Linked DNA regions of Macaca fascicularis. The protein of the gene in region 1 interacts with the protein of each later gene in a pairwise test. Links are inferred from orthologs where the notes say so. Each region holds a gene or a part of one and is shown in the gene's direction. Other genes may lie near its edges.

Region 1 (4,142 bases):
AGTCAAACTTGGAGCTCCAACTACTGGCAGCTCACCGTAAGAATATATTAACTATTTCCAATTTTCTTTTAACAAGTTGAATACTATCTAGAGAAAATATCTGCAGCTTGGTTGCAAAGCCGCTTAAACATTTCATTGGCTAGTTCTGGTAATATTGTACGAAATCAACTCATTTTGTGGTTGAGGTAATCTATTTGTTTTTACCAATCAAGTCGTTTTAAAACCTTCAGGAGTAGAGATGATACTTGAAGAATTAACAAAAAACTTAATGAAGGAAACTGTTAACTCCTCCTTCCCCCTACTTTTTGCCAGTTATTAAAAGTTCTGGTAAATCCTAACTCAAAACAAGAATGACTCATGAGGAAATCCTGACTCCTTGAACTCATGATTCTAGTGCATTACAGCTCTGAAATATCTGTGTCTCCAGCTTTCTCTCCCACCATAAGGAAACTTGTGATTTCCATTTTGGCAGATGTGACCAAGGGCTCCTGAGGAATGACCCTATAGACAGACCCAGCCACTTGCCTAGTAGTGATCAAAAATGCAAATCCAATTAAAGCACTGTCTTCTGATAAAGTCACCTTCTCTTGTTCAATCCCTAATGTTCATTCCCAACGTGTTTCAAGACGCCCCAGCAAGCTGCAGAGCAGGTCCCACCCTGCCCCCGGGCAGTCAACGTTTCAGGTTACACCTTCCTTAAATTAAGTGGCAGAGAGAAACGGGGGAGGGTCTTCCCGTAGCCTCAGTTCATTGACCAGGGTGTGTCGAATGAGTCCCTACAGTAGGACAGCAAACAAGAAATGAGGCGCGGGGTCAGGGAACGCGCTCAAAAAAAGAAGAAAAATCCCACTCTTCATTCAAAATCAGGCCACTGAACTCCGGCCTCGCGGCGGGCGACCTCCTCCTGCCAGGGAATCGCCGCTCTGGCCTGGGGCTGGGGAGCCCGTCAGGGTGGGTGGGTGAGGGAGCGACGTAGCCTCCGCCAGGCCGCAGCCAACTTCGGCTCTCTCCCTCCGCCGCAAGCCCCCGCCTGGCCGCCACGCTTCAGCAAAAGGTCGTGGGCAACAGCCCACACTGAAAAGTCCCTGTCTGCTCGCACGCCGGCCCCAGCTGGCCGCTGCTATGTAGTCCGAGTGCGCAAGAAGCCCGGGCCGCAGACGTCAGCAGCGCCCTGGCTTCCAGACCCTTCGGCGTTAACCGAGACTGCCGCTGGCGGGCGCTGACCCCCATCCCAGTGCCCGTTTGCAACCAACCAATCCGCGTCCTCTTGAGGCGGGGCCGGAGCCGCGAAGCCCCGCCCCCAAGTCGCGGCTTCTTATAAAAGCTGCGACGCACGCCCAGCAGCCAACAGCCGCGGCCCCAGCGGAAGGACGATAATGCAAAGTGCTATGTTCTTGGCTGTTCAACACGACTGCAGACCTATGGACACTAGCGCTGGCAGCGGCCACAAGAGCGAGGAGAAGCGGGAAAAGATGAAACGGACCCTGTGAGTATGGCTTTCTTCCCTCTCCCGCCACCCCTGCCACACACTGCGAGCTGCAAACGCGGTACTTTGGGCTCGGCTTTGATGTTAGGAAACTAGCCCGAGCCTCTGCAGGGGAAAAAAAAAATCGAAAAGGTCAGTTTGTTAAGGTTAAATCTGGGTGATGCTCGGGTAGAGTTTAGGAACCGAGGGAGATAGTTGATATGAGGGCGGTGGTGGATGCGCTAAGAAATTGCGGGTTGGCTTTTTGTCCTCCTGCATTCAAAATGACATCAGAATCCTGCGGCTGAAGCGCGTCCCCAGCATGCATACGTTGCATGATGAGTTCTCATCAGCTTACACAGCTCCTGGAAGGAGATGCTCTTGCTGGTTGTGAATATACTCGTTTAAAATCCACTTTTGTTTTTTAATTATAGAGCAGATCTCATCCAGTCATGAATGTGGAACAAATAATTGTTCTGCAGCGTCTGCTTAAAAGAAGTGTTGTAGGTGGGGAAGGAAGAGCGCAGGGGAATCAGTCACCCACCTCCTTGTACACTGTCTCTGGCATGCTCCAGAACCTCTTGCTCTAAAGAGAGAAGCGTGGGCCGGCTCCAGACAGTTCCACGTCTGTCCTTTTCATTAAATTGTAAAACCCCTCGGAATTGTAATTAACCTTGCAAACAAACTGATGCCCTTTGTAAGCCAGAAATAATATCTGCCTTTTGAACTAAATTCATTAACAATTCTTTAAAATACCCTAGTGATTGTAGGTAGCCCTGCCCTTAGTTGTAAAACTAGTAGATACGATCAGTTTAATGGATGAAACTGCTCAGTACATGAGGTTTAAATGTTAAGTGGATAAGACTGTTATTTGAAGAGTTCTTGCTTTGCCTTATGCGGTTTGTCTCTAGTTACTGGGTGACTTTATTTGGTAAAAATGCGTTCAGCTGCAGTAGCATATTCAAGTGTTGCTACTTAGTGATTATCTTTTTTAAATTTTTTTGTTTGTTTTAGTTTAAAAGATTGGAAGACCCGTTTGAGCTACTTCTTGCAAAATTCCTCTACTCCTGGGAAACCCAAAACCGGCAAAAAAAGCAAACAACAAGCTTTCATCAAGTAAGTTGAGAATCCTGTACTTGCAAATGTTAATAGTTAGTTGCTGAACTGAAAAGGGGAACTCTGATGTGCATAAGCTAACATGCAGAACCTCTCTTGCAGACCTTCTCCTGAGGAAGCACAGCTGTGGTCAGAAGCATTTGACGAGCTGCTAGCTAGCAAATGTAAGTTAACTCTTGAACTTTAGCCATTGCTAATATTGCAAAAGCCTGCAAAGGCTGGGTCCACACAACAAAAGAGCAGCTTGCCTGAGGGGGATTAGACTGCAGTCACTATTGGATAAAGCCTGTTTTTCTCTCCTTTATTTCCCAGGGTTTAACCATGGAAATAAATGCATGTATTTCCTCCAGGTGGGGAAGAAAATCAGCCTAAAAAAATTAAAGTGGCAGTTGCTTATAGTTAAGGTTGAGTCAGTTTTTCCATTGCATACAATGTTTTCAAGAGGCTTAGTTCCCAGAGAATTTATGTCTCCCCTATAAATATTTACTTTGCATTGACAGCAAAGTACTTATATTTTTGCAGCAGAGGGCCAACATAAGCATTTTGCCTACTGGTATCTTCGTCTTTAAAAAGCTAAATTTTGAGAATTACAGGTTTAAGCGAAATCTAGAAAATTGCTGTCATTTAGAAATAATTAAAATGTGAGGGAGAAGTACTAGGAGAAACATAAAGAATCATTTGGTCACTCGGTTCTTCACATTCTGCATGCTTTCTTTTCTCCCCCCTTCAGATGGTCTTGCTGCATTCAGGGCTTTTTTAAAGTCGGAATTCTGTGAAGAAAATATTGAATTCTGGCTGGCCTGTGAAGACTTCAAAAAAACCAAATCACCCCAAAAATTGTCCTCAAAAGCAAGGAAAATATATACTGATTTTATAGAAAAGGAAGCTCCAAAAGAGGTAAGGAAACAAGTTCCTAAACTGAGCACAATCTGGACATTTTTAGCACAAAAGTGAAACAAAATAAGGGCAAAGTGGGGCCAGAAGGAGGGGTAAAAAGTCCCCCCACGTTGTAGCTTTCAGTTATGTTAAAGTTCTTCTGTGACTTAGGTAGTAAAGCTAATCACACATAATTTTTATTTTTTGTTTTCAAATACTAAATTTTAATCTTTAACTCTGAACACCAAATAAACAACTTTTTTGTTTTATTTCAGATAAACATAGATTTTCAAACCAAAACTCTGATTGCCCAGAATATACAAGAAGCTACAAGTGGCTGCTTCACAACTGCCCAGAAAAGGGTATACAGCTTGATGGAGAACAACTCTTATCCCCGTTTCTTGGAGTCAGAATTCTACCAGGACTTGTGTAAAAAGCCTCAAATCACCACAGAGCCTCATGCTACATGAAATGTAAAAGGGAGCCCAGAAATGGAGGACATTTCATTCTTTTTCCTAAGGGGAAAGACTGACCTGCCATAAAGACTGACCTTGAATTCAGCCTGGGTGTTCAGGAAACATCGCTCAGAACTATTGATTCAAAGCTGGGTAGTGAATCAGGAAGCCAGTAACTGACTAGGAGAAGCTGGTATCAGAACAGCTTCTCTCACTGTGTACAGAACGCA
Region 2 (4,229 bases), on another chromosome or scaffold:
GCTGGTCTGGAACTCGTGACCTCAGGTGATCTGCATGCCTCAGCCTCCCAAAGTGCTGAGATTACAGGCGTGAGCCACCACACGTAGCCTGTTTCTTTTGTTTCAAGAGTTATTTTTACCTCTCAAAAGTGATTTATGTGACACTGATAGAAAATTCCATCAAACAGCCATAATGCATATCAAGCACTCTGCTCTGCATACCTTCTGTCACACTCTAAGGATGCGAGAGGGGAAAGAGTTATGCTGGTTCTGGCTGTGTCCTCCCCATTTTGGCTATCTTATGAGCTCTTTATAGAGGTCTGAAATGATTTGACTTCCATATGGAAGACAGCATGCCCCAGCACTGATTTGGAGTCTGGAGTCCATGGCCCTCAGGATAGGGCTAGGGTGAGCAGGCAGTTGGGACCACCTTGACCTCCAGCCTTCTGGTCTTCAGTTCCTTGGGTATCCCACTCCGCTGGGGGCTTAGTGACCATGTTTGGGCTCCAGAGATTATTTTTTCCTTCCACTCCTATCCTTAGTCTGGTACTAACCAGGCGGGAATACAGGTATGACTCTGAAGACCCTGGCAGGCTCAGGGCTGTGTGACAGCTGACGACCCGGCTGCAGGGAGCCACGTCCCTTGGAGTCCTACTGCCTTTTTACTGTCGCCACAGCCTGGATAAAATACGATGATTCTTCTGAACTTTTTTTTTTTTTTTTTTAAGGCAGAGTTTCACTCTTGTTGCCCAGGCTGGAGTGCAATGGCATGATCTCGGGTCACCGCAACCTCCGCCTCCCGGGTTCAAGTGATTCTCCTGCCTCAGCCTTCCGCGCCACCACGCCCGGCTAATTTTGTATTTTTAGTAGAGCCGGAGTTTCTCCATGTTGGTCAGGCTGGTCTTGAACTCCCAACCTCAGGTGATCCGCCCGCCTCGGCCTCCCAAAGTGCTGGGATTACAGGCGTGAGCCACCGCGCCCAGCCTCTTTGAGCCTCTTGAATACAGGGGTCATGCCTGCCTTGCAGGTTTGTCTTTAGGATTAGAGCTGTTTGGGGAGGGTCTGGAGGAGGGTGTCTTGAGCCAACCCCAGCATCTCCCCTCCAGGCCCTCCCGCTAATAAACCCCAAGTAAATGTTCACTTTGTCAGTCCTCTCGGAGCAGGTCTCCCGGGACTCCTGTGCCAAGCCGATTTCCGCCCCCCAAGGTCCTTCTCCTCCTCTGTAGAAATCCTGACGCAGCTCCTAGGTTCCTTCGCGGTGACAGCCACCCTTTTCTATTTGTACGTAGCTGGAGTGTTTTGTGGGTACGTTCTCAGAACAACAAAGTGGAGCGTTTAAAGACTGTTCTGTAGGGTCCACAGCCTCGCCACCCCCAGCCCCTGCAGCGGCTTCTGATGAATGAAATAAGCGACGGCGCCCTCTCCCCCACCCCGCCCCCGCCAACCCGGCAGGCAGGGATCCCCGGCGCCGGTTCTGGCGGAAGCGGTCCCGCGAGGCGGGGGGACTTTTCTAGGTGGGGTGGGGGCTCTGGGACCACCTTTCGGGGCTTTTTCCCCATCCCCTGGCCCCAATTCGCAGCGTTTCGCCACCCAGGGCCCGCAGGGCTCCAAGCCCCTCTTCCCCAACCCGCGCGCTCAGGCCCCCGCCCTCCCCGGCGGTGTCCCCTGACCCCCGGCGGAAGGGGTGGGGGGGTGCGGGGCCGGGAAGAGGGGAGCGCGGGCGGCGGAAGGTGGCGGGAGGAGGTGGGGGCTGGGAAGCGGGGTGCGCGGGCAGCGGGAGGGCACGGGCGGGGCTGCGCGGTAGTCACGTGGCGCAGGACCGGGAGGGTACTTAGGGCCGGGGCTGGCCCAGGCTACGGCGGCTGCAGGGCTCCGGCAACGGCACCGGCTCCGCGGCGCGCAGGCTGGGCTGCAGACTCTCGGCGGCAGCGTTCGGTGAGTGCCGGGGGCGCGGGGTCACCGCGGCGGAAGTGACCTTGGCGGGGACGGTGCCACCGGCCGCCGAGACGGGTTCTTCTGCGTCCCCGGTCGGGCCTAGGCGCGGCCCCGCGGCGTTCCTGGGGGCAGGTGGGGAGCCAGGACCCTCGGGACTGACCCTGACTGGCGGGCTGGGGTGGGAGCCCGCGCACTCCGAAGCGTCGACAAGAAAAGCAGAAAACAGCCCCGCCGGCCCGCCCGCCAGCCCCCTCCCCTCTGCTCCCCTCCCCGGCCTGTGCGCGGGACCCCGGCCCCCGGAGCGGGGAGGCGGCCAGGAGCCCCGAGGGAGGCGCCTGCGAGGAAGAGCTCGGCTAGGTCCGGAGGCTGCTGCCTGGGGTCGCGCTCCCAGCGCCTGGGCCTCGGTGTCCCCGGGACAAACTGCCGAGATTATCGCATCTGCCGGCATCTATTTTCGGTTTATTTCCCCCTCGTTCCAAAGGATTTGCCTGGCCAACTTTCTGCGCAAGATCCCACACAATTCCTGGGACCCCAGAAGACAGGTCCTGTTGAACAGGGATCTGGCACTGGGTGGGCTGGGGAGGAACCCGCACGGAGTTAAATCCATAAACAGGAAGAGAAACCAAGCTGCGAAACCAAGAGGCGAATGGGCGATTGGATGCCGGGTGGGGAGAAGGCCAGGGACGCTCCCTGCCCCCTGGACTCCAGTAAAGGGAAGCCGGGCAGAGTCCCTGGGGCCCTACCTCCCCCTCGGTTAGTAGCCCTGGAGGCCGGGGGGAGTTGGCCTCTGGGGAGCAGTAGGTGCCTGGGTGTGGGGCGCTGCAGGCAGGCTGGGGTGGGTGACCCAGCTGGAAGTGAATTGCACTTGGCTTCTTGGTGGGCCTCTGTCACCCCCTTCCCCAGGCATCGAGGAAGCCAGCAGGCTGGCAAGGAAAAGGATCCTAGCGCAGGCCCTACACCCCTCCTCCTAACGGAGGAGAGACCCCCAAACCCACTGGAGAAGCGATGCTGTGGGGCTCAAAGGCAGACCTGGCACGTTTTTGTAGCCTAGAAAAACTGATCCCCACTGCCTCCCGCCGGAGGAGAGGATAGCTGAGATGCACCCTCTTTCAGTCCAAACGTTCAGGAAGGTAAGGCGAAGAGGCCTAAGAGGGCGTTGGCTTGGTTAAGGGCTGCTCTTTCTCTTCCATAACATCGGTTCTTTTTTTTTTTTTTTTTTTGAGATGGAGTCTCGCTCGGTCTCCCAGGCTGGAGTGCAGTGCCGCAATCTCGGCTCACTGTAACTTCCGCCTCCCAGATTCAAGCTATTCTCCTGCCTCAGCCTCCCGAGTAGCTGGGATTACAGGTGCCTGCCACCACACCCAGCTAATTTTTGCATTTTTAGTAGAGATGAGTTTTAACCATGTTGACCAGGCAGATCTCGAACTCCTGACCTCAGGTGATCTGCCTGCCGCGGCCTCCCCATGAGTCACCATGCCTGGCCTGGCGGAGAACTGTTTCTTCTTGGTGATGGTGACTTAGAACCCGCCAGCTCCTGGAGAAAGGGGCTGGGCCGCCCACCCTGTGTAGCTTTCCCAAAGACAGAGTCAGACGTCTCCTGGAGAGCAGAGGCTTCTCCTTTTTGGTCATTTGTCCCGGAGCTGGGGTATCCCCTGGTGGAAAGGCACAGGTCTCTTGGCCCAGGTGGCAACGCAGACCAGACACGGCCCTGGCACAGCTCTCGCCCCAACAGCTCTCCTGGATGTTGGCTCAGGACAGCCCTGTTGTCAACTGGTCAGGCGGCGAGGGGTGGCAGCCCTTTGGCTCCAGGTTGAAGCGGCCCATGTGGTGCTGATTTAGCAGTTTGGTGAGGCTCTTCTCCTAGGCAGCTTCTTTTCTTTCCCTAGCTGCGGGACCTGGGAGTTGGAAGATAAGTTGCACCCATTTTAGGGGTAACAGATATTTTCTGTTGCTCTTGGTTGGATTGGGAAATGAAGGGAGATCACGTTTCAGGGGTGCCTTGGGATGTCTGTCGGTGATGCTCTCTTTCTTTCTTTCTTTTTTTTTTTAAGACAGACTTTCCCTCTGTCGCCCAGGCTGGAGTGCAGTGGTGCACCCTCCACCTCCCAGGTTCAAGCAATTCTCCTGTCTCAGCCTCCCAAGTAGCTGGGATTGCCGGTGCCCATCACCACACCTGGCATTTTAAAAAATTATTTTTAGTAGAGACGGGGTTTCACCATGTTAGCCAGGCTGGTTTTCTAACTCCCACCTCAGGTGATCCGCCTCAGCCTCCCAAAGTGGTAGGATTACAGGTGTGAGCCACCACGCCGGGGTGG
Region 3 (3,952 bases), on another chromosome or scaffold:
TTCAGAAAGAATTCTAGGACTTTCTCAGAGCAGGAGCTCAGAGGGTTATTTTGGGGGGAAATTAGGTGTGTGTGAGGGTCTTCTTCAGGGGATTCTAGAGGATTTAGGGGACCTGCGTGAGCAAGTTCAGGGAGTGACATCTCCAGAAAAGTCCCTTAGTAAGGCAGAAGTATTGATTCAAGGGGTTCTGGGGGTGTCAGGAAGGTCTTGGAGGGATTTCAAGAACAACATCAGGAGGGTTCCAGGGGTTTGCTGGAGTCTCTAAGCTGTGTGTGTGTGTGTGTGTGTGGCGGGGGGGCGGGTCCTGAAAACCTGCATCTCAGAGGGGTCACCAAGAGAATCTTACGGTCTTACAGGGGTTGTGAGGAGGATCTTTAGAAAATTCCTCTAAAACCGGTCTGCAAGGGGGGATTCTGAAGTGTAAGTGAAGGGGAGTTCTAGGGGATCTGAGAGATAAACCATGAGGAAAGTTTTCAGGATCCTTAAACCATTTTTGGAGCGTGTGATGTGGGGGACTGGAAAATATGTGGAGTATGTAAAAGGGGTTTTGGAAGAAGCTTTTGAAATATGAAATTGAGAGTCCTCTGGAGATTTCAGGCAATCGCTGGAGACTTTAAGAATGAATGGGGGTGGGGAAGGGGGTCCCGGGGAAGATGGTTGGGCTACCTGAGGGTGATCTCTAGGGCATTTCAGGGTGGTGAGACCAGGGGGAGACAGGAGGCCTCTGGGGGAGACTTTTGGGATCTGTGGAAAGATCCAGAGGGATACGTGAAGGGGGAGTGTGTATTAGAGAAGGTTGCAATATGGTGGGGAGTGGGATGGGGTCTTCCAGGTGAGTTTTCGGGATCTGGGGGCATTTCAGAAAGTCTGTGAGGAAGATTTATTTTGGGGATATGGGAAGGAGATCTTCAGGGAAGATGATCAGGGTTCTTCGGGGGCATTCTGAAGGACTTCTGGGAGGGGGACTCAGAAATGCAGGGGGTATGAGCGGAAAATCTCCAAGGAGGTTTCTGGAATGGGGTAAGTAGGAGGGAAAATTCTTAGGATCTGGGAGGGGGAAGTCGGGTGAGCCTGTTGGGCTGTGAGAGGCAGGGCTCTGGGGGAGAGTTCTGGAACGGACAGGGGTCCGGAGGGAGCCTTGGGGAGGTGTGCAGAGCTCGTGAGGAAGGCTCCTGGAGCAGCTATGAGAGCCACGCTGTGGAATGGACGAGGAATGGCCTCCGAGGACTATTTCTGGAGACAGGAGGACGACGGGGGCTTCGGGGCCAAAGAGTGGGGGTCTGCAAGGAAGGCTGCCGAGACCCTCGAAGGGCTCGGGGAGGCGGCTCCACGGGAGAGGTGGGTTCTGCAGGGACCATTCGGGGCGCACACGGGGGCTCGGCAGGGTTTCCGGGGCTCTCCGAGGAGGATGTGCGTGGGGTCCTGAGGAGGGGCCCCCGGCCCGGCCCTTCGGCAATCCCGAGGGCACGGGGAGGATTTCGGAGAGAAGCTTCTGCCAGGGCCCAGGAGGGAGACTGGGGACGGGCGCGGGGCTTCTCCCGTGGGCCCGACCCCCGAAGCCCGCGCTCCGCACCCGCCCGCCGCCGCCGCCCGCGGTTCGGGGTCCCTGAGGGGGCGGGGCCGCCCGCGCGGCCTGGGTCGCCCTGAGGGGAGCCCCGCGCACCCTGACCCGCCGCCGCCCCGCGCCGGCCCGGCCCGAGACTCACCGCCTCGGCCTTCGCCACCACCGCCGCCGCTCGGGCCTCCTCAGGCCACCGCTGCCGCCGTCGCCCCCTCTCGGGCCCGCAAGCTCCCCTCCCTCCTCCCGCACCGACCACCGCCGCCGCCGCCGCCGCCGCCGCCGTCGCGCTGCGTCACCGCGCCGTGCGTCACCGCCCCTGGCCCCGCCCCGACGGGGGCCGCCGCGCGCCGGCATTAGCTCACGCCCGGGTGACGAACGGCGCGCCAGCCAACGGGCGGCGAGGGCAGCCCGAAGGGCGGGAGGTGTGAGCCGAGTAAGGCGGGGTCCCGGCGAGGAGAGGAGCGACGGTGGTGGAACGGGACCCAAGAGGCCCGCCCCCTCCTCGGCGGGATTGGTCGGACGTGGGGGTGACGGGCAGTCGGTCAGGCCTGGGGTTTGGGGCTGGGGGGCGGGGAGGGGGCGGGGCGCGCGCGGCGTTGCCTAGGGTAACGGGCCCGGCGGAGCCTGGGATTGGGCCTCCAGGCCCGCAGGGGGCAGGCTAGCGCGCGTCCACCCCAGCTGCCCTGAGCGAAGTCGCAGTTCCCGATTCAGACGTTCCAGGCCTCCTCTTCCCCGCCCCTTGGGTGGCCCGCCCCACCCAACGCTGTCCCCGGTAGGCGTCTGCACTCGGGCTTTGGGGGGCTCGGCTTTCTCATCGCGCTGTTCTGAGCCTGCCGCTTGCTCTCTCCGATGGGAATGGCGAGGCGAGATCTAGCCGTTAGGGTGGGAAGAGAATGCACAGAAAGCGCTCGGGATCAAGGAGGCCGCCAATAAACGGGAGTTGTTGCTATGACTTTGGTTGTGATCTGGGCGTTCCACAAACTGTCTTGGGTCTGGGTGAACTAATCAGAGGGATCTGTGTTCAGAAGGCTCTCGGTGACAGAGATCTGGCTTGTTACAGGCACTCAGAGAGCCAGTCGGGGTCGAGGGTCGAGTTGAAGACAGGGAGGGGTGAGGAACGAGCAGAGGCCAGTTGTTTGGCCACTTGAGAGAGTTTGGACTTGTCCCGAGGGCACTAGGGAGCCCTGAAGGGCTTCAAGCCGGGGAGGATCATGGTGAGTCGGGGGTTTTGGAGAGCTGTCTCTCTGGCTTATACTTGGAGGGCGGATTGGAGGGAATGAAACGGGGTCAGGAGTCCAGGAAGACAGCTGGGGGAGGAGTTGGGGAAGAAAGAGGGGGGTTTGCACAAGGGAGGGACTGTGGGGAGGGAAGGAGGTGCAGGTGGGAGGGACGCCCTGGAGGCAGAGCAAACGGGCCCTGAAACTGGCTGGCCATGGAGTGGAAGGGGGAGAAAAGTTTAGAACCAGGCCCTCTGGCCGGGAGATTGGGCCCCAGAGGAGAAGCAGGTTGGGAAGATACTAAGCCCAATGTGGATGCCTAGCAGCGAGGTCCAGGAGGTACACAAACCCCGGGTCTGGAGCTTAAGAGAGAAATTGAGGCTGGAGACCAAGATTTAAGAATCGTCAAAGATGGTAATTGAGGCTGTGGGAGTTAGGGGTCTAGCGCGGGGAGGGTGTGAAGGATCATTGGAGACAGGGAATGAACAGAACTCTGAAACGGAGAGGCAGGATTTGAGCAAAGGAATTGACACTGTCGATGAATATTGAAAAGGGCAGCCAGAGAGAGGAAGACCAGGACAGTGTGGCATAGACGCTTTGAGGAAAGGCCATTTCACCAGGGTGGGGCCATGTCACAAACCCCATCCACTACCTCCTGCATTTAAGCAACAGCCTTCACACTGTATAAAATGATTGTGCTTGATAACTGCTGGTTCATTAATTCATTCAATAATATTTCTTGCCGGGCGCGGTGGCTCACGCCTGTAATCCCAGCACTTTGGGAGGCCGAGGCGGGCGGATCACAAGGTCAGGAGATCGAGACCACGGTGAAACCCCGTCTCTACTAAAAATACAAAAAATTAGCCGGGCGCGGTGGTGGGCACCTGTAGTCCCAGCTACTCAGGAGGCTGAGGCTGGAGAATGGCGTAAACCCAGGAGGTGGAGCTTGCAGTGAGCCGAGATCGCGCCACTGCACTCCAGCCTGGGCCACAGAGCGAGACTCCGTCTCAAAAAAAAAAAAAAAAAAAAAAAAAAAAAAAAAAATTTCTTGAGTATCCAATATGTGCCAGGCTCTGCTTAAGGTGCTAAAAATACAACGGTAGGATGAGTGCGGTGACTCATACCTGTAATCCCAGCATTATGGGAGGCCAAGGAAGGTGGATCACTTGAGGTC

Evidence for each region.
Region 2: the proteins of RGS2 (region 1) and CTSB interact in a two-hybrid assay, tested with the Homo sapiens proteins (2 studies listed by BioGRID and IntAct). The link is inferred for Macaca fascicularis from reciprocal best matches to the Homo sapiens genes RGS2 and CTSB.
Region 3: the proteins of RGS2 (region 1) and LRFN1 interact in a two-hybrid assay, tested with the Homo sapiens proteins (2 studies listed by BioGRID and IntAct). The link is inferred for Macaca fascicularis from reciprocal best matches to the Homo sapiens genes RGS2 and LRFN1.

Annotation. Positions count from the first base shown.
Region 1 is NC_088375.1:50,401,242-50,405,383, forward strand, and holds the start of RGS2 (regulator of G-protein signaling 2), read left to right. Parts: upstream 1-1,342; 5' UTR 1,343-1,376; coding exon 1,377-1,486; intron 1,487-2,479; coding exon 2,480-2,581; intron 2,582-2,683; coding exon 2,684-2,745; intron 2,746-3,311; coding exon 3,312-3,478; intron 3,479-3,732; coding exon 3,733-3,927; 3' UTR 3,928-4,142. UniProt on the Homo sapiens protein: Regulates G protein-coupled receptor signaling cascades. Inhibits signal transduction by increasing the GTPase activity of G protein alpha subunits, thereby driving them into their inactive GDP-bound form.
Region 2 is NC_088382.1:9,048,259-9,052,487, forward strand, and holds the start of CTSB (cathepsin B), read left to right. Parts: upstream 1-1,429; 5' UTR 1,430-1,493; intron 1,494-1,836; exon of another isoform or gene 1,837-3,044; intron 3,045-4,229. UniProt on the Homo sapiens protein: Thiol protease which is believed to participate in intracellular degradation and turnover of proteins. Cleaves matrix extracellular phosphoglycoprotein MEPE. Involved in the solubilization of cross-linked TG/thyroglobulin in the thyroid follicle lumen.
Region 3 is NC_088393.1:46,414,854-46,418,805, reverse strand, and holds the start of LRFN1 (leucine-rich repeat and fibronectin type III domain-containing protein 1), read left to right. Parts: upstream 1-1,152; 5' UTR 1,153-1,338; intron 1,339-1,706; exon of another isoform or gene 1,707-1,855; intron 1,856-2,224; exon of another isoform or gene 2,225-2,333; intron 2,334-2,621; exon of another isoform or gene 2,622-2,772; coding exon of another isoform or gene 2,773-2,775; intron 2,776-3,952. UniProt on the Homo sapiens protein: Promotes neurite outgrowth in hippocampal neurons. Involved in the regulation and maintenance of excitatory synapses. Induces the clustering of excitatory postsynaptic proteins, including DLG4, DLGAP1, GRIA1 and GRIN1.